3 linked regions of the Canis lupus familiaris genome follow. The protein of the gene in region 2 interacts with the protein of the main gene of each other region in a pairwise test. Links are inferred from orthologs where the notes say so. Each region holds a gene or a part of one and is shown on either strand. Other genes may lie near its edges.

What was found.
Region 1: the proteins of EGFR (region 2) and tubulin alpha-1A chain interact in binary tests that used the Homo sapiens proteins (3 or more experiments, as listed by UniProt). The link is inferred for Canis lupus familiaris from reciprocal best matches to the Homo sapiens genes EGFR and TUBA1A.
Region 3: the proteins of EGFR (region 2) and AHSA1 interact in a protein complementation assay, tested with the Homo sapiens proteins (2 studies listed by BioGRID and IntAct). The link is inferred for Canis lupus familiaris from reciprocal best matches to the Homo sapiens genes EGFR and AHSA1.

The regions. Positions count from the first base shown.
Region 1 is NC_049248.1:41,235,530-41,245,199, forward strand, and holds tubulin alpha-1A chain, read right to left. Parts: upstream 6,599-9,670; 5' UTR 6,501-6,598; coding exon 6,498-6,500; exon of another isoform or gene 5,647-6,497; intron 4,389-5,646; coding exon 4,166-4,388; intron 4,026-4,165; coding exon 3,877-4,025; intron 3,433-3,876; coding exon 2,452-3,432; 3' UTR 2,241-2,451; downstream 1-2,240. UniProt on the Homo sapiens protein: Tubulin is the major constituent of microtubules, a cylinder consisting of laterally associated linear protofilaments composed of alpha- and beta-tubulin heterodimers.
Region 2 is NC_049239.1:5,956,679-5,966,509, reverse strand, and holds the start of EGFR (epidermal growth factor receptor), read right to left. Parts: upstream 5,666-9,831; 5' UTR 5,651-5,665; coding exon 5,563-5,650; intron 1-5,562. UniProt on the Homo sapiens protein: Receptor tyrosine kinase binding ligands of the EGF family and activating several signaling cascades to convert extracellular cues into appropriate cellular responses.
Region 3 is NC_049229.1:50,572,599-50,582,474, forward strand, and holds the start of AHSA1 (activator of 90 kDa heat shock protein ATPase homolog 1), read left to right. Parts: upstream 1-3,278; 5' UTR 3,279-3,439; coding exon 3,440-3,519; intron 3,520-4,840; coding exon 4,841-5,031; intron 5,032-6,755; coding exon 6,756-6,838; intron 6,839-7,228; coding exon 7,229-7,346; intron 7,347-8,431; coding exon 8,432-8,520; intron 8,521-9,356; coding exon 9,357-9,485; intron 9,486-9,876. UniProt on the Homo sapiens protein: Acts as a co-chaperone of HSP90AA1. Activates the ATPase activity of HSP90AA1 leading to increase in its chaperone activity.

The DNA.
Region 1 (9,670 bases), on a different chromosome or scaffold from region 2:
ACATATTCTATGTTTAATATTTTTGAGGAACTGCTGTACTGTTTTCTTTTTTTTAAGATACATCATTTATTTTTTGTATTTTTTTAAGATTTTATTTGGGAAAGAGACAGAGATAGTGACAGAGACAGTGAGAGAAAGCTTGAGTGGGGAGAAGAGGGAGAAGCAGGCTCCCCTGCTGAGCAGGGACCCTGAGATCATGACCTGAGCTGAAGGCAGATGATTAACTGACTAAACCACCCAGGAGCCCTGCCATGCTGTTTTCAATTGTTTTTCAAATCACATGCAAAAATATTATGAGCTCATGGGTTTTAATATCTTTTATATGGTTGAACCCACTACAGTCACTATTATTTTCAATGTTCACCTTGTACCATTAGTGAGAGCCACTTCTACTTGACTTCTGCATCCTTTTTTTTTCCTTTTGACTTCTATATCCTTTTGATATAATCTTTACTCTTTGATTATCTTCTTTGCTTTCTGGAATGCGATAATATTTGGGGCTGAACCTGTATATTTTCTGCTCCAGGCTTGAACATCTCTAAAACATCTGATTCCTTTTAGTAGAAAATAGTATTTAAAGACCACCATCTGAGTAGCAGGGGTACTCATTCCTATATTGGTCCTAGGCCTTTTCAGTGGGCAAAATTATAGAATTTTTTTTCATAATAGAAAATATATAACAAATGCATATGTTATTTTTATTTTTTTAAAGATTTTATTTATTTATTCATGAGAGACAGAGACAGAGACAGAGACACAGGCAGAGGGATAAGCAGGCTCCATGCAGAGAGCCTGACGTGGGACTCGATCCTGGGACTCCAGGATCACACCCTGAGCTGAAGGCAGCACTAAACCGCTGAGCCACCCGGGCTGCCCAAATGCATATGTTATTTACAATTAAAATTATGTCTCTTAAAAAAATAAATAAATAAAATAAAATTATATCTCTTTTATCCTACGCTTTACTCATTCAACCAATAATCATTATACATACATCTACCATATTCCTTATATTTTGCCAGTTGCTGAGAATGTACGTTAAAAACTTATATTTGATCTAGTTTCCGCATTGTTTTTTACTCCCCCATGCCCCCGCAAATCTATTTGCATTGGCTTCTAGTTAAAACTGCTGAGCAGTATTGGATTGGCTTAAATAAAAAAAAAAAAAACTAGTTGATCTTGGCTTATTTCTTATTTTTCATTGTTTCCATTAACTTAAACTCAGATTCCAATAACTATAATAGTATCACACCCCTTTGTTGGCAGTGTCAAAGGAAAAGTAGATTAAATAGGCTATAAGTACCAAAAAAAAAAAAAAAAAACTTCACCACAACTGGATATTATCCTAGAAGATAGTGTGATAGCACAAAAAAGTTTGCTATCCTTGGGTCCTTAACCTTTTGGTCAGTTGGACTGGCAGCTGAACTATGTTGTTGAAGAAACCATTGGCCTAGAACTGTTCCTCTCACTATGTTGGTGCTGATGCCAACAACTGCACTATTAGTTTTGTTCTTTGAAGTTATTGGCCCATATTAAAATAATATATTTGGAGAGTTAAAATTCAGGTATATAACACATTTGAATGAGTAAATTTATCAGGGTTTCTATTATGACATTTAACTGAAAATAATTTGGAAAGTAAAGAACTAGGGAGCAATTGCTTGAAGAGCAGACTTCGAGAACCCAGGGTAGAGGAAACATTATAGCACTAGACACATGCCAAGATGAGAATGCATAAAAATATGCTTAAGACCTGATAAATGCGTTTGGAATATTCACCGTTTTTAAAACTATTTTATTTATTTATTCATGAAACACAGAGATGTAGGCAGAGGGAGAAGCAGACTCCATTCAGGGAACCCGATGTGGGACTCGATCCCAGTACTCCAAGACCATGCTCTGAGCTGAAGGCAAATGCGCTTAACCGCTGAGCCACCCAGGTGTCCTGTGTATTCACCGTTTTGTTAGTCATGAGACTAACAAAGCAACCAGACCTTTGTGTATTAGTGGATATCAATTCTAAAAAGTATTAGCATATAATGGAGTTAAAATTTAAGAAGAGCATGGATGTTATCTAGTGGTAATTTGTCGCTATTTTGTATTTTATGATTAAGTTTTATAATATAGTAAATTTTAAAATAAGTCGTAGTACATGTATAAGATAGAGTGAACGGTTATTCTTTTTTCTCAGAACTAAGTACATGAATTTCAGACACCCAAATAGAAAACACAAAACTAAATTCATTTAAGACAGGGAATACTTTATTCAAACCCATCAGAGAAATGGACAGCTTGAGTCTGTAACAAAGCGTCGTGTTTTAAAGCATAGGTCAGTAATTATATATGAGAGTATACACTGCTACATACAAATTAACTGATCAGAGCACTTTTCAATGTTCAAAACAGAATAAGCTTCCCTGTAAAAGCAGCACCTTTGTGACATTTTTAACTTTAGTATTCCTCTCCTTCTTCTTCACCCTCTCCTTCAACAGAATCCACACCAACCTCCTCATAATCCTTCTCCAGGGCAGCCATGTCCTCACGGGCCTCAGAAAACTCTCCTTCCTCCATGCCCTCACCCACATACCAGTGAACAAAGGCACGCTTGGCATACATCAGGTCAAACTTGTGGTCCAGGCGAGCCCAGGCCTCAGCAATGGCTGTGGTGTTGCTCAGCATGCACACAGCTCGCTGTACTTTGGCCAGGTCTCCACCGGGTACCACAGTGGGAGGCTGGTAGTTAATGCCCACTTTGAAGCCAGTGGGGCACCAGTCCACAAACTGGATGGTACGCTTGGTCTTGATGGTGGCAATGGCAGCATTGACATCTTTGGGAACCACATCACCACGGTACAACAGGCAGCAAGCCATGTATTTACCATGGCGAGGGTCACATTTCACCATCTGGTTGGCTGGCTCAAAGCATGCATTGGTGATCTCTGCTACAGAAAGCTGTTCATGGTAGGCTTTCTCAGCAGAGATGACAGGGGCATATGTGGCCAGAGGGAAGTGGATGCGGGGATAGGGCACCAGGTTGGTCTGGAACTCCGTCAGATCCACATTCAGGGCTCCATCAAATCTGAGGGAAGCAGTGATGGAGGACACAATTTGACCTATCAACCTGTTTAGATTAGTGTAGGTTGGGCGCTCAATATCGAGGTTTCTACGACAGATGTCATAGATGGCCTCATTGTCTACCATGAAGGCACAATCAGAGTGCTCCAGGGTGGTGTGGGTGGTGAGGATGGAGTTGTAGGGCTCTACTACAGCTGTGGACACCTGGGGGGCAGGGTAGATGGAGAACTCTAGCTTGGACTTCTTGCCATAATCGACAGAGAGACGTTCCATCAGCAGGGAGGTGAACCCAGAACCGGTTCCCCCTCCAAAGCTGTGGAAAACCAAGAAGCCCTGAAGACCCGTGCACTGGTCAGCCTGTTAGAAAAAAGGAATAGAGAAAACCTATTACTGCTCTTTGCTATATCATCATAAGTACACAGATTTCCACTTTTCATACAACTCCAACAATATAGATCTTATTTTGACAAGAAATGTTTTTAATTTTTTTATTTATTTTTATTTTTATTTTTTAAGAAATGCTTTTATTTTTTTTTTAAGAAATGCTTTTAAATACATGTAGACCTTCCTAGACTTCCTAAGCATCTTAATTAAAAATATCTGCATTAACATTTATAAAACAATACCCAAGTAGTTCATGTTTCAATTGAATTAAAAAAAAAAACTGTAAAGGAGTAGTTCACCTCACTCTATTACATTTCAATTTTGCATTTGAAATGAAAAACAAAACAAAACAAAACATCGTATCTCAAATGTCTTCCTTCAGATCCTTATTTACTTTATTCTTGAGAATAAACATACCAGTTTCCGAATTCGGTCCAAGACAAGGTCAATGATCTCCTTGCCAATGGTGTAGTGCCCTCGGGCATAGTTATTGGCAGCATCTTCCTTGCCTGTGATGAGCTGCTCAGGGTGGAAGAGCTGGCGGTAGGTGCCAGTGCGAACTTCATCTGGAAAAGGAAAACAAGGTGGCCACCCATCACTAACAACCTGCATGACCCTGCTCAGCCCCAGGCTGTCAGTGGAGCCTCAGACAGACCTCCTGTCCCAGTGCCCCGGGAGCTCACTTGGGTTACTGAGGCCAACTCACCAATGACTGTGGGCTCCAGGTCTACAAACACTGCCCTGGGCACATGCTTGCCAGCGCCCGTCTCACTGAAGAAGGTGTTGAAGGAGTCATCTCCTCCCCCAATGGTCTTGTCACTTGGCATCTGGCCATCGGGCTGAATGCCGTGTTCCAGGCAATAGAGCTCCCAGCAGGCATTGCCGATCTGGACACCTGCCTGGCCAACGTGGATCGAGATACACTCACGCTATGGGAAGGAAAAGAGGAAAATTGTAAATTAGGTTGTGGTAGCATTTTGAATTTTTAGTTAATTTTTGAAAATATTTCTAATAATATACAGGTATTCTTCAGGTTTAGTTGAGATTATCCCTAATTCAATAGAAATGATTAAGGAAAGCACCTGCTACAAATGCTGCAGATGGGTGTGGTCTGAATAATAATGTTGCACTGTTTCGCACATGTGCAAGCCCATTGTTTCCAGTCATGCTTAAATATAATTTTTTTATTTAAAAATATTTAAAGCACGGATTTTGTAAAATGAAGCAAATTAAATTTAATCATTAATTAGTTGGAATCAATATTACTATTCTTGCCCCTTTAAATAAGAGTTTCTTCTACATATGACTTGGTATTTTAACATGGACATCTGTGCTGCAGCTGAAGCTAGATGCCACACCCCTTTGCAGTGTATCTGCAGAATCCATTAGTACTAGGGGATTGGAAGCTAACAAGGTCTGCCTCCTGCACTGCTGCATTGCTGCATTTGCTGTGCCTGGTACTAGCCTATTCTGTCTGCTACATTATTTAACAGAGTAAGTTCTATTTCCAGAAACTGCCTACATGATCTCATTGTGCTATTAGCCAGTTTTCCTTCTGTGACCCGGGCTGGGACCATATGCCTAAACTGAAATGAATTAATGTAGATTCACTAGAACAAAAGACAGCTGAACAGAGAGTACATAGTTCTTTGTCTGCAGCATTTTCATTACTTAAAAAGATGTCCTTCCAGAATCTTCTCCACTGCAAAATAAAAAAAAAAACCCTGAAAAATTATTAGAATCTTTAAAACAATAGTTCCTAAATTAGAAAAGTATCAGAGGACCTACCTAAGAATAAAAGCTCAGTGCAAGGATAATGAAATATTTATTTAAAATAATAAAATAGTATTTTCATTCTGAGATTCTCTACTCACCACAGAATATTTCTACTCATCACGTTGAATAAGAGATTTTCTTCCCTATAGTCTTTATGGCTACAGCTTCCATTGTCTAGCCATTGTCTATTCACTGACATTTGGGCGGGGGTTGGGGGCGGGGGGGTGGGGTGGGGAAGGGCGTTTCCCTGGGTCCTGGGCAGTAGGGTACCCTGGCTCTCAAAGTGAGCTTTTTCTCTTGCTGGACGTGCCGTGCGGCTAGCACACAGACAGACAGACAGACACATACACACACACACACACACACACACACACACACTCACTCCAGTCAGGGCGGGGTCGCCCCAGACCAGACTTTAAAGGGCTTGTGAAGAGAACTGTGATTTTGCATCTCAAGAAAGAAATATTTCATCTACGTTTTAACAGTGAATGAAAAACCTTTTAACGCCTACAGTTCCACAACGATGAAAGGCTTTTAATAAAAGTCTCCGACAGAGGAGGCTTAGAGAGGACGAGCGAACCCCGCCCCGCGGCTCCAAGGCCGGAGAAGCCAGAAACAAACAACTCCGCCCCTGCGCCGCCCCGACGCCGGCTGCCCGGGGTTCCAGCAGAAACTAGCCATTTTCCCCCGTGCAGACGCGGGTATCTCCCTAGAACGCCACCGACCCCGGAGCGATCTTCTTCCTCTAGCCCGGGGCTGCGCTTTGTCCCGCTCCTCTCCCCCTCCCCCTGCCCAACTGCACCCGCCGCGCCCGGGGCTGGGGGACCTCTTCTCGCCCTCCCCCTGGGACCAGCGCCAGGAAGAAAAGCCTGTCCGAGCCACACATACACCGGGGCCGCCTTTCCCTGCCCCAGATCCTGTCGTCACCGACAGACGGGCTGCTCGCGGCTCGGAAGGGCTCAGATAACAAGGACTCGCTCGGCGCCGCCTTTGTTCTTCCCCACGGTTCTGCTGCGCCCCGGGCGCAGTCCTGGCTGCGCTCCCGCACCCGCACCCGCACCCGCACCCCGCGCTGCGGCGGCGGCCGGGCTCGAGGATTTGGGGCAGCGAAGCTACACCTCGCAAACAAAGCATAAAGGCTGACCCTTACCCAAAGAAGCTGTAAAGGAAAGAAGGAAAGAGGGCTTCAGGTTTTCCCAGCAGATCTTGGGGGACTGACCCCACCCAAGGGCCACAAAGAGCCAGAGAAGGAAGATTCTTACCATGGTTGCTGCTTGGCGGCTGCCGGGCGGATGGCGGAGAAGAGGAGAGGTTGTTGCTTCTTACAGCGCGACTCTTAGGCGGTCGATGTAAGAGAACCTGCGGCACATGGGCGGATGCGGCTCCCTATATACAACTCGGTCACCATGGGGATGGGCTGGGGCCTTTTCCTGTTGGTCCAGACCCCCTCAATCTGCCCGGAGAAGTCACGACAGGAGAGTGGTGATTGGTGCAAGCAACATGGGATGAGGTAATCTCTCCCCCACCCCTTTTTCCCTAGCATCCATAGACTGTTTGCATCCTCCAGACAAAGAGACTGTGCAAAAACAGTCAGCCGAGCATCCATGATGGGGTGGGGTTGGGGGGCGGGTGGAGAAAAGAAGAAAGAAAACTTGAATTGGATGATTTTGCTATTGCTTAAACCTCACACTTACAGTTAAAATCACCAGTGTAGGTTTTTTTTTTTTTCTCCAACACTTAGATCGCAGAATTTGTGTTCACATGAAATATTTGATGGAAAATTACTCCCAGCTCCTCTCTCAAAATATACTAAGTTCTACCACATTCGGTGAGGCTTCAACGTCTCTAATTGCTTTATAGATAAAGTAGGAGAAAAGATGGGAATGATGCTTAAAAAGGCTTGGGTGCATGTGATTTTTTTTTTTAATATAAAAAGAAGGTTCAGTAATAGAGCCATCCAAAATGGCTTTTGAGGTTCAAGTAATTTATCTTCAGACCTTCTTTTGCACCCCTCCCCCAAATAGCTAAACAAAAGGGAGGATGGAAGAAAACCATACTAAATATGGAAGCACACAAGTAGTTCTAACACGGTGATAATTAAGATCTAAGAAACCTACTGTAGTTAAATAGTCTACTAGAAATACTCTTTTACCAGAAGTCTGTGTGATTACTATATTTTATGTAGTGTATTATTCCTTAAGATGAATCATCTTTCCTGATAACAGAATTGAGAAAATACAAGGAGTTCAGAAACTAGTTCTAGTACCTGTGCATGCAGTTATTCTCGGCATTGTTCTCCCCGCCCCCCGCCCTTTTTCTGGAAAGGAAGAGAATAACTAAGACATCAAATTTAAAAGGAGAGCTGTATAATGTAAGAAAGAAGACATTTTATAATTTTGTCTCCATCCACAGACAAGTTTGTCAGCTCGATAACTGCATTTCTTTTTTTATGTAGTTCTTGTGTGAATTCAGTAAATCTTCTCAGAGATTGGACTTCTAACTGTGGGAATTGTAGACAGCCTCACACCGTTGCTATTCAACTAGAGACTGTGGTGGTTGCTCAATTGCCTCTTGGGACAAAAAGGCTTTGCTTTCAGCCCTAGGAAATGGATTGCAGTAACATTCTTTTGCTATTTAGAAAGGCTCTATTATCAACAAAGATGGGCTCTGCAGAATAAGACTCTGGACTGATTACCACCTGACGTTGCTAATGGAATTTCGGAGGTAAAGAAGTTCGTTATGACCACCGAAGCTGAAAATTATATTTTGGCAGATGATTTTTATGTTCAGTTTTCAGCAACAGATTTTCAGGGTCTGCAGCACCATTTACAGTGCTCTGCAGAGCCCATTCATTCCTGCTGGGCTGGCAGGCAGAGCAGGCGTGGGAGGGAGGGACTTGAAACAGCTGCTGCAGGTTGTGGTGTGACAATGGCTGCCGTGGATTTTTCTAGTCTGCTATCCATAGCTGTGCTTTACTTGTTCAAATTTGCTGCAGTAGTCTCCCTAGAAAAAATAAAACCCGGCACACATATCATATTTATCTACTTCTTGCATATTTTATAGGAAAGATAATCTTCAACATCATCTTATCTCCATCCTTTTAGCAAATAAATATATTTCAGTAAAAAGACAGGAGAATTAAGGACAACTCAAATATTTCCTCACCTAGAAGTACATTTAATTAAAATAAGAATTAAATGGCATTGGGGAGTATAAGGATTTATAAGTAGCTCATTGAAAATACTTCTTATAAAATTGTAATAAGTCAAATAAATGAAACACTACTGGACCATGGTAAAGTGTACAAATCTTTCCTTATGGAATGAGAGGCAGTCTTGAATTTTATTTTCTTTACAATATAAAAGAAATATGTCATTTCCCCAATAGTCTCAGTTCTTTATGCAGTTACAGAGGATTAAATAAAAGAGAGGCGTGTTCATGCAATTGATTCTTTGTAATTCTATCTCAGAGCTATTCTGTTCCTTATGCAAATGAGGATTTTTCTTCTCCTCTTGAGCATAAGTAACAATAAGATCTAGGTCAGAAATAGATTATTTGAGCACTGATAATCTTAAAAGTATAAATGGGAGAGCAGGGGGGAAATAACTAATCTATTCTTTTTTCCCTCATTATCTGACTTACTAGCATGTGGACTATTAAAATTTTTTTTTTCTAGTTCACCTCTTATTTTTTCCTACCAATCTCTTTAGCTTACATAAATATATATCTCTAAGTATTCTACTAATAATTCATTCGTGTCCACTGTAAGATTAGCATAAAACATCCTTTCTTTTATAATATTTGTAGAATTTAAATTATTTATTTGTGTATCTACACCCCTTCTCCATTAAAATGTGAATCCTAGTCCCTGGCAAAGTGCCAAGCATACACTAGACATTATATATATGTTTGTTGATTTAAATGAACGGTTTCTCTCTGTGCATATTTTCACTAACTACTCTAACGCCTAGTAATTTAAGGGCATTTAACCAGTATTTTGTTTTTTTTAAAAAAAGATTTTATTTATTTATTCATGAGAGACACAGAGAGAGGCAGACACAGGCAGAGGGAGAAGCAGGCTCCATGCAGGGAGCCTGATGTGGGCTGAATCCCGGGACCCCAGGATCATGCCCAGGGCAGAAAGCAGGCTGCTAAACCACTGAGCCACCCAGGGATCCCCAGTATTTTGCCTTTTTTATTCAAAAAGCATTTACTGAGTGTCTACAGTGAGCTCTTGACCATCCTGGATAATGTGAGTAATTCAGAGGTAGTAGCGTGATCTCTTTTCTCTAGAGTCTTTCAATCTAATTGAAGAAGTAAAACAAGCACATGTATATAGGAGAACAGCATGTGTTTGTGTGTATAGGGAGAGGAGCTTTGTAGAATCCATTGCATGTATTATAACTTACGTAGGAAACAAGTTGTATAACACTTT
Region 2 (9,831 bases):
TACATCTTGTACTGGTCACACATGAACTGCCTCCAGGTCAGCCTGAGTCACCTGTTCTGCGTCCTCACTGCTCCCCCTCCCGCCTCTCTCCTTGGCCCGCAGAAGCCACCCGGCTCCCTATTTCCACAGTTGCCTCTGCAATGCACTCACTCCCCACGTGGCTGCTAGAATCATCTTTCTCAAACCCCAAACCCATCTTGCCAGTTCCTAGCTTAGGGCTCCCCAGTGAGCCTCCCCTCACCCGGAGGGGGGACGGCCAAGTTCTTAGGATGTGTGGCCTCCCCATCTCCCCCTTCTGCCATCACACTGAGTCACCAGTGCTCCTCAGACCTTTGCTACCACTGGCACGACGCGTGGGATGCCTTCCTATTGTGCATTCTCCAGGGGAAATGCCCGCAGCCCAGGGCCATCTATACCTGGCCCTCTCTCCAGGTGGAACTAAAAGCAAAGAATAAAGCCAGAAGAATTCACCGTGTACAGAATTCTATCATTGGTTCTGTGACATAGTTTCACGCTGGTTATCTATAGATTTCTCTTGCCCTAAATGACTAAAAGGCAAGCACCAACGCTGATTGATTCATTCCTAAGTCTCAGAACGTGGATGGAACAGTGCAAACTGCTCACTGTGGCCCAAACGCAAAGAAAATAAAAGCCTAAGTCGTAACAGGCAGCTATTCGTGTCCTTATACTTAAAGGACAAACAGCAGCGGTTAACTTATGTAATTATTTCTCCTAAATCAGGGCCAGGTGTGTTGGCCCACCAGGATGGACTATAAGTTGGAGCAGAGAAGGAAATTCTATCCCTCAGTGCTCGCTTTCACATACTACTTTCTGAAGCAAGCTGCTGAAATTTGGTAGGAGTAAAATTTATTTTAAGCATATGCAATTCACAGATGCTTAGTCAACAGGGTCAGGCATTTGATATTATACTTCAGGGCCTGCAGAGATTTAAAATGTCAAATCCAGCACTTAGTTTCTAACAGGGCTAAACAAACAAGCCACCACCCACCGCTCACTGGCCCCAAACACCCCTCCTGCTCCCCACTGGCTCAGGGAACTTTCTAGACAACTGTATTGACTGTGTCTATCTAAATGTGTAGGAAGGAGGCTGTACCTAGTGACTCTGAAAAAGTGAAAATTTCAGTCAAACCGGTTATTTGACATAAGCTTGGATCCTTGCCTGAATTCAAACTAACCTGCTCATCTCATCCCCATGGGCTGGATGGCAGGCTATCCTTCGAGGTTGTGCAAAGAGCCAACTGTTGCAACTGTCTTAGGAAAGGCGACCTTTTAGGAGGAAGATGAAGAAGAAGGAATGGATGGACAGACGCTAGGATGTCCGATTGGAATGACCCCCGAGAACAAGGTTTATACTCTATCCCCGTATGTGCTGATGGCTTAAGAATAAACCGGTAATAACCAAGGCCAAAAATGTTTCTTACGATGATTTCAAATGTCCAAAAGTGACAGAAGAAAACAAATTGAAAGTAGTTTTGTACAGATCGGAGAAGCAGAATCTGCTTTGGAAACCGTATATGTGGAAACAATGTAGGGGGGAACCGTTCTAGAACTTTGCCCTTTTCTCATATTTGTAAAACCCGACTTTAAATAAGCCCATTTCATGTACTGAGTCCAAAATCACACACACACAAACACACAACTTTCACAGCAAGCCACGGGGCAAAGGCCAAATGCTTCCCTAGGTGGGTCCTAGCTAACATTCTGATCCCACGTGAATTTTAGGGCCTGGGGCACCAGCATGGGGCCAGCTTCCCTTAACAGCCATAATCATCAATTTCCTATCAGAGTTGACTTGCCACTCCTGTCAGAAAAGGTTCAGACACTAGCTGCTGATCCTGAAGTTTAGATCAAGGGGTGTGGGGGGGGGGGGAGTATTTTCTTTTTAAACAGGGCGGGATCCTTCATCTTTACTGACACTGCCTCTAAAAACATTTCAAAACATGTTAGTGCTGTCACGTGGACCAAGTCTAATCATGCAGCACAATGGGTTTTTGGCAATCGGCTTCTTCAAACTTCAGAATGAATTTTTGAAAAATCACGGACTCAGCAACTAAATATATAAAGCCAGAAATAATGGTTACAAACCCACTGGAGCCATCGGCCAGGTAACTGCTGAACAGAGCTCCACGCGTGTGAATACATGAGATACACAGACTGTTGGGCCCCTTTGCAGATTGAAAAAGCGATTAACTAATACAGATCTTCCTTGACTCGCGATGGGGTTATGTCCCCATAAGCCCAGGGCAAATTAAAAATATTTTAAGTTGAAATGCATTTAATCCACCCAACCTACCGATCATCATAGCTGAGCCTAGCCTACCCTCAACGTGCTCAGGACACCTACGTTAGCCGACAGGGGGATAAAATCATCTAATGCAAAGTCTATTTTATATGAAGTGTTGACTCCCTCACATGACTTGTGAAGTCCGTACTAAAAGTGAAAAACAGGATGGTTGTCAGTGTGTGGGGGTTGTCGACCCTGGTGATCACAGGGCTGGCTGGGAGCTGCAGCTCGCTGCCACCACCCAGCATCACGGGAGAGGGCCGCACCGCCTATCACTAGCCTGGGGGGGAAAATCCAAATTTAAAATTCCAAGTACAGTTTCTACTTAACATGCATCGCACATACAATAAAAGATTCTAGTCAAACCATCATAAATCAAGGACCCTCTGTACTTCATTAACGACTTAAAGAATCACACAGTGGAAGTGTTAGTAGAAACTACTAAGATCACCCTTACCCCTTTTAACTCATAATGTCCAGCACATTCTATGCACTCAATAAATACTCTTTGAATTCTGAGATGGACTCAGGAGCCTGGGGCTGGTAACTGCCACGTCCAGCCTGACACAGAGCTGGAACGAGAAGAGACGTCCCGGCTTCCAGGCCACAACCTACTGGGCTTCCTGACCTCTGAACTCCTGAGAGAAAAGAGGGTAGTGGATCTTCACTTGGGATACAATTCAAAATCCTCTCATTCCCTCCTCTTCAACACAGCCTACTAAATCGAGAATGTCTTCAGAGGAAAAGCTGGGACAGGCCCCCCGCACTCCCCAGAGAACCACCCAGGGTCTCTCTTCTGGAGCAACACCTTTACCTTTCCATTTTGCAAGGGAGAGGGGCTTGCTTAACAATCCGCGAGCAGTGTCCAAGCTCACTGCTGCTCTGGCGACTGAGCTGCCTCCACAGAAGGCAAAGCAACTACTGAGTAAAGGAGCAAGAGTCTAGACCACCCAATAGGTGGATGTTTGTTCCAAGTTTCACACAGAGACCAGTCCTAAGGAGCCCGTTCCCTGGTCCTTTCCTCCGCCTCCCAGCACCTGCCACTAGGTGTTTGCACACACCCGATCTGGCTCTCCTAAAACCAGAACTCACAGGGGGCAGTGGAGCTAGGTGGAGGAGGCAGGACTCGCGGGTGAGAAGGCCTGAGTCTGAACCCTGGCTCTGCTTCTTCCTAAATGTAGAAGTCGCTTTACTTCTCTGGACCTCAGTTCCCCCTTTTAATAAAGCGCGTACTCACCACATATGCCTAATGTAAGGATTAAAAGGACGTGTAAGACAGTGCTTGACAGTACCAAGAGCCATAAGAACAGAAGATACCAAATCTTAGGGAAAAAAGGCTCTCTAAACCGAGTAAATTTGCTTGAACAAAACCGACTGAATTTGCTAAGGGTCCTTAACACCTTTGGTAAAAACATCTCCTTTTATATTTTTAATAATTCATCCTTTGAAATTGGTTTTGTAATGTTACTCTAACAGAATGACATCTGTTCGCCCACCCTCACAATCGTGTCCAGGAGCATTCTGTTTTAAGCAAATACAGGACAGGCAAATTAAGCGGTATTTATACATTTTCTTGGAAACACATCTCCAAGCACTAATAGCAGTGTTCAAAGGGGGAAGAGCAAAGAGCTGCAAACACTTCAGGAGTTTTTAAAACACACACACACACACACAAAGTGATGCTTTGGAGGTGCTCCAAGAGTCAATTTAAATTAAGGAGGGCGGGGGGGGCCCTGTAGCAGAGAGGGAGAGACACCACCTGCCTAAGAGGACCCTGTTGCAGGAGCAGGACCACAGCCTCCAGGGCTCCCCGCAGAGATGAAGGGGAGCCCTTCAGACTCCTTAGAGGATGCAGAGCTTTCCACCAGCTCTGTCGGTGAAAAGACTAATCCCCTATTACTGAAATCACCCTCCACCTCCTCTTTCCTATATTTTGCAAGGTTGTTAACACTCCAGATGTTCCAAAAAAGCTTCTTTACATTAGCAGGTAATCTTTCCAGAGACCTTAGCAGTCTCTCCCCTACACCAGTGATCCCCAAACCTGGCTGCCCAGCGGACCCACCAGAGGAGCTCTCGAAGATCCTGATGCCCAGGTCTCAGATCAGACCAAGGAAATCAGGATGTCTGGGGTGGGGGTGGGGGGCCAGACCTGAGTTTTCGTTTGGTTTGGTTTGAAGATCCCAAGTGATTGTAACCCGCAGCGAAGTTTGGGAACCACACCGGCTTGTGCATTAATGCTGCCCTAACCAACTCACTCAGCGCCGGCCAATGACATCAGCAGCAAGTACAGACCTGACTCTTGGAACCCGGGTTGCTTGATTTTGAAATTGTGTAATTAAGCCTTCGGAGGCATGTTTCTCATGTCAAGTGGGTTTATGGCCGGTAGTCACGAAGCCAAGGCTCGCTCATGTTCAGTCTGGACATTCGGCACCGGTGAGCCACGGACATCAGTCCTTCTTTCAAAAAACATCACCTTCAATATTTCGGTTGGCCCAACGTCAAATTCTTCAAAAAGGCTAAAAGGAACATTCCCCCCCACGAGAGAAGTCTCGGGATCTTGAGAAGGAAAGTGTGCCGTGGGCCTCATTTCCAGAAGCGGAGGGGACCTGAGCAGGACGGGGCTCCGTGCGTCCGGGCGCCGCCGGGAGCCTGGGGACGCACCCCACGGGCTGCAGGTGCCGGCAGGTCCCGGAGGTCCCGGAGGTCCCGGAGGTCAGGGGCGCGCGCGGAGCCCGGTGCGCCCGGCGCGCAGGGGGATGGAGAGCCGGACAAGCGCCGTGGGGCCGCGCGCGGGGGAGCCCAGCGCACCCCCTTGTAGCCGAGGAGGGCAGCCCGCGCCTCCTCCCTCCCGGCAGCCACAGGCAGAGGCACACGCGAGACCCCCCCAGAAGGGTGCGCGCACCCCAGGAGAGGGCCCGCCCCGGCTGGCAAGGTCGGGGTGCAGCGACACCCGGGGGGGGGGTGTGCTCGGGAGGTCCGCGGCCGCGGAGGGGGACCCGGCTCGCCCCGAGCCCCGGGGGCGCGCACCCCGCACCCGAGCGCAGCCGGGCCCCGGGAGGAGGCGCGGGGCGCCCCGCGGCCGCCGAGCCCGGGAAGTTGCGCGCGCTGCAGCCCCGCGGGCCCCGCGCAGGGAGCCTGCCGTCCGGCCGCCTGGGACGCCCCGGCCCGGGAACCCGCGGCCGCTCCTCCTCCCACGGCCCCGGCAGGGGCGCAGCCGGCCCTCCAGGAAGCGGGAAAGGAGGGCGGGAGGCGCTCACCTCTCTTCTCCTCCAGCGCCGGGCTCGCCTGCAAGTGCGCCGCCAGCAGCGCCAGGAGCGCGGCTCCCACGGGCCCCGGGGGGCGCATCGCGGCGGGCGGCGGGCGGCGGGGCCTGAGGTCGCGTCTGCGGGGCGGCGGCCGCGGGACGGGCTCGCGGGGACTCGGGCCGGGGACGGACTCGCGGGGACGCGGGCGTGCGCACCGTGCCGGGGGCGGAGGCTGCGGGCGCGGCGCGGCCCGGACGTCTAGCTCGCGGGGGCGGGGGCGGGGGCGGGGGCCGGGCCGGGCCGGGCCGCCGGGGGAGGGGCCAGGCGGCGGCGGAGGCGGCGGCGGGAGGAGCCGAGCGGCCCAGACGGCGGGCGGCGGCGCCCCGTCCCGGGGACCCGGGGACCCGGGCGTCCCTCCGCCCCCCGTGCCTCCCCCTCCCCCCCGCCCCGTCCCGGGGACCCGGGCGCACCTCCGCCCCCGTGCCTCCCCTTCCCGTGTCTCCCCCTGGCGGAGCAGCGCCCCCCCGCCCCGTCCTGGGGACCCCGGCGCATCTTCGCCCCCGTGCCTTCCCCTCCCATGCCTCCCCCTGGCGGAGCAGCCCCCCCCCCCCCCCCCGCCCCGTCCTGGAGACCCGGCGCATCATTGCCCCCGTGCCTCCCCCTCGCGGAGCAGCACCCCCCGCCCGGCCCTGGGGACCCCCGCGCATCCCCGCCCCCCGTGCCTCCCCCTGGCGGGGCAGCCCCCCTCCCCCCCGCCGCGTCCCGGGGACCCGGGCGCACCTCCGCCCCCCGTGTCTCCCCCTGGCGGAGCAGCCCCCCTCCCCCCCGCCCCGTCCCGGGGACCCGGGCGCCCCTCCGCCCCCCGTGCCTCCCCCTCCCCCCCGTCCCGGGGACCCGTGCGCACCTCCGCCCCCCGTGCCTCCCCCTGGCGGAGCAGCCCCCCCTCCCCCCCGCCCCGTCCCGGGGACCCGGTCGCACCTCCGCCCCCGTGCCTTCCCCTCCCGTGCCTCCCCCTGGCGGAGCAGCCGCCCCCCCCCCCGCCCCGTCCTGGAGACCCGGCGCATCTTCGCCCCCGTGCCTCCCCCTCGCGGAGCAGCACCCCCCGCCCGGCCCTGGGGACCCCCGCGCATCCCCGCCCCCCGTGCCTCCCCCTGGCGGGGCAGCCCCCCTCCCCCCCGCCGCGTCCCGGGGACCCGGGCGCACCTCCGCCCCCCGTGTCTCCCCCTGGCGGAGCAGCCCCCCTCCCCCCCCGCCCCGTCCCGGGGACCCGGGCGCCCCTCCGCCCCCCGTGCCTCCCCCTCCCCCCCGTCCCGGGGACCCGTGCGCACCTCCGCCCCCCGTGCCTCCCCCTGGCGGAGCAGCCCCCCTCCCCCCCGCCCCGTCCCGGGGACCCGGGCGCACCTCCGCCCCCGTGCCTTCCCCTCCCGTGCCTCCCCCTGGCGGAGCAGCCGCCCCCCCCCCCCGCCCCGTCCTGGAGACCCGGCGCATCTTCGCCCCCGTGCCTCCCCCTCGCGGAGCAGCACCCCCCGCCCGGCCCTGGGGACCCCCGCGCAACCCCGCCCCCCGTGCCTCCCCCTGGCGGAGCAGCCGCCCCCCCCCCCTCCCGCGCCCCGTCCTGGGGACCCGGCGCATCTTCGCCCCCGTGCCTCCCCCTCGCGGAGCAGCACCCCCCGCCCGGCCCTGGGGACCCCCGCGCAACCCCGCCCCCCGTGCCTCCCCCTGGCGGAGCAGCCGCCCCCCCCCTTCCCGCGCCCCGTCCTGGGGACCCGGCGCATCTTCGCCCCCGTGCCTCCCCCTCGCGGAGCAGCACCCCCCGCCCGGCCCTGGGGACCCCCGCGCATCCCCGCCCCCCGTGCCTCCCCCTGGCGGAGTATCCCGGGCCCCGCGCCCCGCGGCCACGCCTGAGGCCCAGGCGGGTAATGGCAAGGATGGGAAAGCACCCCGTATTCCGGGCGCCCCCACCCCAACGAGGCAGCCGAGCCGCCGCTCTCAAGTCTGGGGGCCCGTGGCAGCCCCGCCCACCCCCGACCCCCTGGGACCCGACTCCGGGCTCACACCCGGGCTCGCAGAAGAGCTGAGTGGACGCGTGAGGAGCGACGCGCACGGCCAGGGCTCCCCGGGAAGCTAACACGCGCGCTCAGTCACTTCGCAGAAGATCAGCGCTTCCAATAAAGGCTCCAGACAAACCGCACTGGAGACCCTATTGCAGAAGCCAGGTGCCCCCCGCCCCCCCTCCTGAGACAAGAGGGTCACTCAAGCAGGAGAAGTGCTGGGAAGTCTGCTAAGGGTTTGGCCAGAAGCAACTAGATTTTCTCCAGCTGCAGAAACTTTTTTAAATTTTTTTTTATTGGAGTTCCCCCGGTGCTCATCCGGCCAAGTGCCCCCCTCAGTGCCCGTCACCCACGTCACCCGGTCACCTCAACCCCCCCTCGCCCACCTCCCGTTCCACACCCCTTGTTCGTTTCCCAGAGTTAGGGGGCTCTCGTGTTTTGTCACCCTCACTGATATCTTCACTCATTTTCTCTCCTTTCCCTTCAGCTGCAGAGACTTGAGCTGCAGAGACTTGAGCTTTTGCAGAGCACCGCCTCTCCTCACTGCTCCTTCCCAGAGGGGGCAGGTGGCCGCTGGCCCCATTCTACAACCAGATCCCCTGCTGTCCTGGCCAGACTCACTAGTGACATTCATCCTGGTCCAGCCCGGGGTGTTCTCACTGTTGGAGTAGGAATCCCCAGCCTAAAGCAAGGGCACTTAAAGTCCAGAACTCTCCTGTTGCTGGAGGAGGGGTCCCGAGCACAGGGCTTCTCACCACCCCTAGAACCTGTGTTTTTTTCATCTGAATTTAGATTCATTCTTGTTTGTTCCTTTGTTTTAACAGGTAAGAAGGAGCACTGAGCCTGCTGAACTCATTTAGCCCCTGGTGAAGAAGGCTGTGAAGATCCTGTAGACCATGTTTTGGTTTCCTCCACATGTTCCAAACAGGACTTCCAGCAGTTTGCAAAGAAACACAAAGACGGCAGGAACACAAGTTGGGGAAGAGCAAACCAGAAACATCACAGCGGAACATAGGATGAATCTGGAAGTGGGTCTTACAGAAGAGCTGCACACGACAAAGTCCCTAACAAAGGGGCGTACCTAACAAAGACAACAGAACTGACTCTAACACTTCTGTCAAGGAATACGGGAGGTGGCACAAATCAGAGTATCTTTATGTTAAAACATTCAATCAATTAAAACTACAATGAATTTTTTTTAAAGATTTTGTTTATTTATTCACAGAGACACAGAGAGAGACACACACACACACAGGCAGAGGGAGAAGCAGGCCCAATGCAGGGAGCCTGACGTGGGACTCGATCCCGGGACTTGATCCCGGGACTCGATCCCGGGACTCCAGGGTCACGCCCTGGACTGAAGGTGGCGCTAAACCACCGAGCCACCCGGGCTGCCCAAAAGTACAACGAATTTTTAAGACTGCATTAGCAATTTCTCGCATGGGCCCCTCAAAAGAAGACAAAGTGTCAAGATTTTAGAGTTCTCTCTAGCCACCTCTTTGTTGCAGTATGAACCTTTATAGTGATGTTTTGTTCCAACAACCTTTGATATGATCTGATGGTATCTCAGGAAGCAAAGCCTTATTAAAACAATTACTCAAGGAGGCAGTGGGACACTTCAGGCAGACCACCTGGTACTGGGTTGATCCCAAGGAATGGAGAGGAATGTGTGACATTAACATCCTACTGGGACACCTATCTCAGGTTTGAGTTTCTCCTCTGAGTTTGTGATAAAGGGGTGACATTCCAGATAATTTTGTACTTTTTGGCAGGTAGTGGAGTGGTCTGAAAACGTGCTGCTTACAAGGTGAAAAACTATATGACCGAGCTGGCAGGAATGGCATCCTCTTAAGAGAACAAAGCTTTGCCCAGACTGGGCCCTGCATAAAGGGTTCTCAGGCACCCAGTGTCTGCAGAGAGTGCTCCCAGGGCATATCCCAGGCCATATCCCGGGCAAGAGCCACTGCTGCCACCACCCTAGGAATAGCAGGAGCAGCCCCAACTGCATGCTAAGCACTGATCAGAAGTGAGCTCAGCTGACCCGTTAGCTACGTTATACTCTGTTTGCCTTTTATAGCAAGATGACACTGGCTTGGAAAAGGTTAAATAAATAACTTCCCCGACATACCAAAGTAGAATTTGTGAGTCATGAAGCCAGCCTTGAACCCAAATCTAGGCCGTGCTCCCCATCATTCTAATACTACGACTTTTCAAATAGAGACATTAGGAC
Region 3 (9,876 bases), on a different chromosome or scaffold from region 2:
AGGTTCCAGAAATACTGTAATGAATAAAACTGGCAAATATCACGCTCTCATCTCTCTCTGACTTGAGACTTAATCTCATGACCTGAAATCATGACCTGAACCGAAAGCATGAGTCAGTCACTTAACCGACTAAGCCACCCAAGTGTCCCCATTGAAGTTTCTGATGGCCCTTAACATACTCTAGATACTCCTCCACCTGTAATGGGGTTAACATCCCAATAAATATAACATAAGTTGAAAATATCCTACCCGGAAAATGTTAAATGGCACAGCTTAGTCTATCCTACCTCAAAAGTGCACAGAACATTTACATCAGCCTATCGTTGGGCAAAATCATCTAACACAAAGCCTATTTCATAATAAAGTTTTGAATATCTCATGTAATTTATTGACTGCTGCACTGAAAGTGAAAAACAGAATGACTGGGCAGTCCGGGTGGCTCAGCAGTTTAGTGCCGCCTTCAGTCCAGGGCCTGATCCTGGAGACCCAGGATGGAGTCCCATGTCAGGCTCCCTGCATGGAGCCTGCTTCTCCCTCTGCCTGTGTCTCTGCCTCTCTCTCTCTCATGAATAAATAAATAAAATCTTTAAAAAAAAAAAAAAACAAAACAATGACTGCATGGGTGCAGAATAATTTAAATGTATCAGCTGTTTACCCTTGTGATCATGTGGCTGACTAGGAACTGTGGCTCACTGCTGCTCCCCAGCACTACAAGACCCAGCACTACAAGAGTATTGTGTTGTATATTGCCAGCCCAGGAAAAGATCCAAACTCAAAGTTCAAACTATGGTTTCTACTGAATGTGTATCACTTTTGGGGTCCCTGGATGGCTCAGTAGGTTAAGGGTCCATCTCTTGATCTCATCTCAGGGTCGTGAGTTCAAGCCCCGTGTTAGCTCCACACTGGGCCTGGAGACTACTTTAAAAAAAAAAAAAGTATATATATATGTGTATCACTTTCTTATCATCATAAAATTGAAAAATTGTAAGTTGAATCACTGTAAGCCAGGGAATCATCTGTGCTCTCGCTTCCTGGCTCCTTTGTTTTCAGGAGATACAGGGATTGAAAGGTATGGTGGGAATTTTCTGCTATCTGATCCCTTCCCATGGTAGACATCACTAATTGATTTCTACTGAACCCAGATGTAACTTAAAAATCCTTCTGTATATTTAAAGCCAAGTGAAGCTGGCAGATACAAGGAAATCATCCCTCATGGTGGGACAAGCACAAGCTTTATTTATAGCAGGTAGCTTTGAATTCAAATCTTGGTTTCCCAATTCTGAGCAAACTGCTTAGATAATTTTACTTCTAAACCTTGGAGAAAACGACATCCTACCTCACAGGACTGCAATGAAGAAGAAAGAGGACTTAGGAAACACCTAGCAGAAAAGTAAATACTGAATGTCAATTCTTTTTGGTATGGGGAGTTTTACGGACACCTTTCCATCTTGGTTTCCTTATCTGTAAAATGGGCATAACAATAGACACCTACCTTACAAAATTGTTTTAAGGCTTAAACTACTTAATATACGTAGAGCGTGTAGTGCCTGACACAAAATTAATGCTCACTATTTTTATTAATAAAGTATCATGGTAATTAGAAAAAAAGGTAATATTTATAAGCAATCCTAAAGATCTAAAAAAAAAAAAAAAATAATCTGACACAAAAATCCTGAGAGTGGCTATCACAAACACTCAAGACCTGCATGGAGCACAGAAAGGTCCCCGGCACAGATGCCAACTTCTAGAGCGCTCGGTCATCCTCACAACAGCTCTGCAAACGTGGGCCTGGCAGATTCCATCTCTACTTCACTGACGAGGAATACGAGGCACAAAAGGATTAGGTACCAGAACCACTTTGCTAATTGCTCCTATAACCCAGGTTTCCCGGCTGCCGGATCCCTTCCACTCTGACACGCACGGCCCTTCTCTGTTTCACTCTAGGAAAAACTAATGCAGGTCGTTACTTCACTGCGGTAAACAAATATCTGTAAGTATTTACAAACCAGCATAGGATGTGTCTAACGAGCCCCGTAATCCCCCAGAGAATTTCTGGAATCTTTTTAAAATCACGCAACCGCAGGGGTGACACTTGACACCAACGTGTACTGCGAAGGCCCAATCAGAACCTAGCTTGCTTTACCTGTGCCAAGGAAGGAGATAAAGATCTGACGGCTCTAGAAGTTACATCGACCGGGTGCGATTATAAGAGTGACTGAAAGAGGTGCTTCAACATGATCCCAAGTACGGCGGCAGAGGCTTGTCCCTATCGTCACCTGTTTACTGGGAGCCCACGAGACGGGGTAGCAAATCCAAGCACACAACAAAGGAAAACAGGCATCGGCCAAAAAAAAAAAAAAAAAATTCCACGACCGACACGTTCGCTGCTTCACAAACCAGCTCCCGAGACTCAGATCCAATTATTAACTTCTGAGCCAGGCCTATCCCTGTGAGGCCATGAACCAAGCCCAGGGAATGTGGGTTAACCTCGCCGGCAGAGTGAATGATCCTTCAATTCCAGTGTCGACTGGATTGGATTGGATTGGAATCCACTTACAGTCCCAACCCCGAGCGTACTCGGTCGCTCCGACTGGAAGGGTCAGGCCGGGGCGGCGGGTGGGGAAGCGTCTAGGGACGCCCCAGAGAATAGGGGGGGAACGGATAAGTTTGCGGAGACTCTGGAATCAGCTAGACCCGCGGCCCAAACGGCTTGGGACACCCTCACCTCTGCCACACCGAGCCCACCCTTTCGGGACAGCGTCAGACTCTTCCGCCGCTGGACCACCCTTCCTAGCCAGACTGAGCCGCATAGAAAACAGGCGGAAGCGAGCAGTCGCGGGGTGGGGCGGAAGGAGGGAGGAACGTGAGTCAAGACTGAGGCCGCAGGGCATGCTGGAAATTGTAGTCTTTCCGTCTCCACCGTCACGCTCGGTTCTGGACGTGACACAGGGCTCCTTGACTACAACTCCCGAAACTCCCAGCGCTCCGCGCTTAAATCGTTTCCTTTACTTTTAGCGCGACCTTCCGCGGTTATCCAGCAGATTAGTCAACAAGACTACAACTCCCATGAGGCTCAGGAGGGCCAATTCAGAGGCTCGGGGAACAATGGGACGTGTTCTTTGTGGCCTTTACGGGTGATGAATGGTTGTGTGAGCGGTTGCATTTCGGACCCCTTTCGAGGTAACCCGAGGGAGCTTGAAAGAACTCTCGAACAGGCACAAAGTAAAATCCGACGAGGTGAAACGGAAGTACCCGGAGGGAGTGAGGAGGAGCCGGAAGTTAAGGCGGGGAGGGGCGGGGGGTGGAGGGAAAAGCAAGCCAGGAGGTTCTGCGGCCGCTTCTAGTAGTTTCCAGGCGCTGCCGGGCGGCTGGGACCAGGCGGTCCGGAGGCTGTGGCTGCGGCTGCTCGGGCGCTGGTGGCGGTGCGACAGGAGAGCCGATGGCCAAGTGGGGTGAAGGCGACCCACGCTGGATCGTGGAGGAGCGGGCGGACGCCACCAACGTCAACAACTGGCACTGGTGAGGGCCAGCGAGCGGGCCAGGCCGCGGGAGGGCCCGGCCCAGCCGGGGGTGCGGGTCCCCGGAGCCTCGGTCGGAACAAAGCTGGGGCCCGGGGCAGCCCTGCGGGGACACGCGGGGAGGTCCTCGCCGCGGCACGGGGTCCGTGGCCCCGGGCCCCTCCACACACCACCACCTGCCGCTGTTTGGCTCCTCGGAGGGGCAAGGGGGCGCCGCGGAGGGCTGCGCCCAGAGGAGGGGTTCCAGGAGCACGAGAACGTAACCCCCGAGCCCATGCATGCATCCGCCGCGAGCCGGGACGTGCTTCCCACACGTGGCCGGAGGAGTCGGGGGACCGCCGTGTTAGGCTCGAGGCCGGTGGGCTGGAATTGCTGTCTTGCGGCTTATGCGTGCGCTTCGGAGTCAGCCGCAGGGGACCACTGCCTGAGTCCGGAGGGCAAAGGTTCGGAGCGTGTTCCGTAGGTGCTGAGAGCTCAGGGATGCTGAGGATGCCACGGCCTCTCACCCGGAACTGTTCCATTTGGTTGTGTTGTAACTCCCGGGGCTGCCCCTGGTTGCCGGGCAATCGTGGCTTTATAATGTAACCAAAAGCCTATTCTCCGTTATGACATTAAAAGTACTATTTCCTTATCTTTTCACTCCCCTGAACTTTGTTCACACCACACCGTCTTTACTGTACCTTTCCCCTGTGGCGGCTCTTCTTGCTGCTGGTTTCTCTACTGTTAAGCACATGGGGAGGCAGAGTGTGATTTTTCTCCTCTGTATCCCAGCCTGCCTCCTCTCCTCTTAACGTACAAGGGTGCTGGACTTAACATTGCTTCCACGGCCACCTAGAGGACACGGAACGTGTAGGGGATTTTTAGCACCGCCTGAATTTGACAGGTCAGCCCGCTGCGCTAATGAGGTCAAGATTATGGGTTTATTACTTACTGGGCTTGTGAGTTAAATACTGCTTTCAACAGCCCGCTCTTGTGCTCCTGACCTCAGCGAGATGGTCACAGTTTTCCATTTGGTCCAACGGGGGCGCCGTGTTGAAGTGTCACATACTGACCCTACAGCATCTTGCTGAGGATGGAAGGCATCATTTTCCGTTTGATTTGTAACCATTCCACGCAGCCGTGGTTGTCTTTGTTGACCATATGGGAGTCCTTATCTTCCTAAAACGGGGTAACACGCTTGTGGACGAACTAGAGTGGGACTGATTTTTTTTTTTTTTTTCAAACTATTTGTCAGGCCTCTTGTAGCCTTGGATTCTTTTGCACAGAGCAAGCAGTCTCTTCCATTTGGCTGCTGCTCCATAGCTTTATTTTCTGTTTTGCAGGACAGAGAGGGATGCCTCAAATTGGTCCACGGATAAGCTGAAAACACTGTTCCTGGCAGTGCAGGTGCAAAATGAGGAAGGCAAATGTGAGGTGACCGAAGTAAATAAGCTTGATGGAGAGGCATCCATTAACAACCGCAAAGGCAAACTTATCTTCTTTTATGAGTGGAGCATCAAACTAAACTGGACAGGTAAGTCTATGCTGGACTGTTAGGACAAAAGTTAACTGCATTTTGCTTGACTTGCTAAGGAGCCAGGGAGAATGGTTTGAGGGGAGTTGGGAACTCTTGAAGGGAGACAGTGCTGCTTTGGAGTCCTGAGGAAATCAGTATTGGGTGCCAAAATTTCTCTGCCCCTAGGGGATGAACACTAAATGCATTTTTCTCTCCGTGGGTCTCACAAGTCCCCATCAGTGAAGCAGTTAGGCCACTGAATTTTTGGGCTACAAATATGTTAGGACGTTTTAAATGAGGTAACATTTCTCACACTAGCTAATTTTTACCTCTTGGATGATTGATTTAAAGGTGGGAAAGGAAATTTTTGGGGGGGTATGGATCTTTTTTTTTTTCTTTCTCCAGTGTGACTCTACCAGTGTAGACCATTATGCTAATGAAGTTTTTATGTGACTATAATTTGGGGCAGTTTTACTCTCTCGTTTATGTCCCTTCTGTGATGGCATTGGCAAAGAATTAGAGCCATGTGTGCGCCCCACCTGGATGGTCCTGATAGTTGGGAGGCTGAATTTCAAAAGGCACTAAAGCTAAAGGAGTACATGTAGGGGGCAAAACATACAACAGATTTGTGCTTCAATGAGCATTTCTTAAGTAAATGGTAATAAAGAGGGGAAAAGTAAATCTATATCTTCATGACCTTTTAAAAAACTACTAAAATATGGTAGTCTGAAAGGAACCTTTAGGTGTCCTCTTGCCCGGTCCTCTTTTTATAGATTGAGAAGCTGATGTCAAGAGAAGTGGAGATAAATAAACGTCCTGTTGGTCAATTTTGAAATATAGTCAGTTCTGCTATAATGTCGCCCACGTGTTCTAAAAATCACCACACTGTGCAAAATTGCTCAACCAAAACCACAGGGCTTATAGGGAAGATAGGGTTAGGGACACGACACAACACCCAAAACCTTCACTGGTGACACGTTTTTAAAATTTAGGAATGTAAAAATTGATAGCACAGTGCTACATGTTATATGGGAAGAAATACATGAATAATATAGTAAACGTGCTGCTTTACTTTGAAAAAGATCTGGAGTTCACTTGTGAAAGCAGGCATCGTATCAGAAGGGTTGCAGCAGGTGGGTTATTGTGAATTGGTGCTTGGAGGGTCAACTGATGAAATCAGAGGGAACATTACGGACCCCAGTGTGGGTGGTATGGCTCGGAACACATGGGGAACTAAGGTTGCTGGGAGATAAGTGTTTGAGGAGATCCTGTCTTGTGTATTCCTGTCTGGCTCCTTTCAGCTGGGTGTGGTTCTGTGTGTGCACCTAGTGTTTCTCATGGAAGAAGTCTCGTGTTAGGAAGCGTGGAATTCATGCTGTGATCAGATTGTCCTCTAGTAGGTCAGTCGCATGGGAACAAGTTTGTATTTTCAGAACAAGGATCCTAGCAGAACTGACTGCCTTGATTATTGACCCGAATCCTCCTGGGCAGAATTCACACTAGTGCCACATCCGCAAAGCCCTTAGTCCCGTACGGTAATCACACAGCTGGCCCGCAGATCTAATGAGGGAAGACCTTTCTTCTGGGGAATTGGGGGAGGGTTGATTGTATCTGACATTCTCTAGAATAAAGAGGGTCAGTTCAATAGTTCAAAAGAAATATAAGCAGAGGAGTAGTTAGGCGTCCAGAGCCGACTTTGTCTGCAGAGGGAGAGACTAATGACATTGCATTGCTTTTGACAGGTACCTCTAAGTCCGGAGTGCAGTACAAGGGACATGTGGAGATCCCCAATTTATCTGATGAAAACAGTGTGGATGAAGTAGAGGTTTGTGCTTCTTAATTCTTCATCTGAGTCTTCCATATCCTCTTCTCAGATGAGAAAAATGATTTCAAGATTAAAGCCCAGGCTGGGTCCAACCATTCAGAACCTCATTCTGCAGATAATCTTCTAGGTCTGTGGTGCTGTTGGGAGCGTCCGGCACAGCTTGTGCTTATTTAATTACTTTGTTTCAGCTAGTAACGTGTTCTAACGTTAGCCACCTTGGCTTTGGCAGAGAGAACTGGAGGAGGAACACTCATGGGGATTGGAAAGATACCCCAACCCTCACACATTTCCTTTGGAAATGTCAGCAGTTATCTGATTGCTCAGCACCCACATTCCACATTGTGGGTGCCCCTCAAGTTATTTACCACCTACTTCTGATCTTTCACTCAGATTAGTGTGAGCCTTGCCAAAGATGAGCCTGACACAAATCTCGTGGCCTTAATGAAGGAAGAAGGGGTGAAACTTCTAAGAGAAGCAATGGGAATTTACATCAGCACCCTCAAAACAGGTATCCCTTGAGTAGTAATGTATGCCTTGAGGAGATAGTTCCCCCCACCCCCGGTCATCAGACTCTGATTAAGGGATCCGATAGTCCTTTGTTTGCCAAATGAGTGAACATTTTGGGGGAGGGGGCCTCTTCATCTCAAAGTCAGTCTTTAATCTCAATAAGGGAAAGATGTAGGGATGACTTGCCTGATAATCTATTGACTGTTGAGCTCTTGAAATACGGCTAGTACAAATTGAGTTGTGCCATGAGTATAAAATACAGTGGGTTTTGAAAACTTGTACAAAAAAAAAGAATGTGAAATATCAACAGCTTTTTATGACAATAACCTTGACATATTTTGGATATATTGGATTAAGTATATTAATAAAATGAACTTCACTTGTTTGTTTTTTGGCTATAATGTGGCTAGTAGAAAATGTAAAATTCTTTCTGAGGCTGACCTTGTATTTCTGTTGGACTGTGCTAATCTAAAGACTTGGCATCCCCAGACTCACTGCTCGAGCACAGTCCTAGACTATCTTTAATAGGCATTCTCCAGGGACGCTTAGGGGGTTTTTAGGTTGCAGGTAGTCGAGCTCTCCCTTAGAATTCCAGTTATGCCAGTGTGTTCTGGTCTTGGTGTTGGAGTGCATAGAGTGACTGTCAGGGGTGATCCCTCTTTTGGTGGGAACCAAAGTGCTCTGGTGCCAGAACTAGTTGTGGCTGTTTTGCAGAGGTGAGGCAGAATGGAGGAGGGGGACAGATCTGCATCCGAGGGCGTCTTGCCCTATTCTTGAAGTCATTGGAAGTGCCACTATGTTCATTCACTATTATCCATAGTAGACCTCATGTACATTTAACAAGTTGTAATGCTTCTAATGGAGTCGGGTTTTAAATGACCCTTAACGTTCCATATTCTACAGCGTACACTCAGATACCTGTCTGGCATAGGCCGGAGGTAAAGGCCTAAAGTAGATAGACTCTTTCTTTCTTTGTCATTACCTCATTCTGGGGTAAGATGGCCATGTTTGTCAAACTCTAAAGAGGCCCCAAATCTCAGCAACTAAGAAATAACTTCCAGGAGCGGGGATTTTTTATCTTTTCAGAGTTCACGCAGGGCATGATCTTGCCTACAATGAATGGAGAGTCAGTAGACCCAGCTGGGCAGCCAGCACTGAAAACTGAGGAGCGCAAGGTAAGTCAATGATATTTCCATGTGTGTGTGCTCGCTCTCGCTGACCTTAACCTCCAAGCCAGAGCGACATATGATCTGCCCATGGTGCTTTTTACAGAGTCCTCGATATGTAGTTACTTGTCTGTCCTTCTGTAACCTGGTTTTCATTCATTTATAACAGACTCCTAGAGCAAATGGAAACTGTCAGGGGCTTCAGAGTTTGATTCTTCATTGCATTTCACCCCAGTTAGAGGAGTTTGTGAACACAGATTGGTTTTTATATGTGTCTTCAGTATTATTCCTAACTGAGGTGTTGATATTTGCTCCTCTGATACCAGAGGTCTCAGGAAGGTACTGGGGTGAGATCACTACATTCACCTGTCAGGAAATTGATTGATTTCACCACATTTACAGGGTGAGGAAATATTTTTTGTGGAGGTGGAATTTGTGTGGTTCAGGCTCAGCACTTGGTTTGCAGCTCTGTTGCCCCTTGTCAGCATAGTGAAGGGAATTCCGGAGGGGAGGTGGCTGCTTCCAGCTGTTTAAGCACCATTTTTTCCTGAAAATTAGACACAAGTACCTCAGAAATACCAAATGATGTGCCATGTCCTTTGGTCAGTGGGAGTGTTCAGTATCTCTCCTCCTTCACCCAGAATATTATTTCAGTGGGAATTGAGGACATTCTGGGCAAGTTCCCCTCATGACTGAAACATCCATACATATTCCCTCCAACCCCCTGGAAGGATTAGCCCTGGAGGCGAAGAAGTTTGTGAGGATGAATAACATGCCTGTCCTGGAAGCCACGTTAATGCAGGTTTCCCCATCACTCTAAACCTTTCTCACTGCCGCTTCCACAGGCTAAGTCTGCTCCTTCAAAAACCCAGGCCAGACCTGTTGGTGTCAAAATCCCCACTTGTAAGATCACCCTTAGAGAAACCTTCCTGACATCACCAGAAGAGCTCTATAGAGTCTTTACCACCCAAGAGGTAAGTATAATCTTGTCCTTCAGGCCTCAGGGCATCTGCTGTTCTAGGTGACTTGGGTTGTGGGCACATCCCCTCTGTGCAGAGCAGGTACTGAAAAGCGGAGCTGTGAGGTTTTCCTCGTAGAGGCAGAGGCAAAGGAAAAACCCTTCTGTTGGACCTCCTTATCAAAGTGAACATGCCTTCTTTTTCCTCCCATATACTGGTTTCGGGTGGTCTAAGTGGGCACCACTGGAAGCATTCTTGTTAGAAAAGTGAATGGATCTGAAGTAATGGCATCTTGGATTCACAAAGCATCACTCCAGTCAGAGCCTTGAGTAGGGGCTCTTCTCTGTAGTGGAACAGAATAGAACCTGGTAATTGGGCAAAGTGATGCCTTTGGAAATGAGAGCTG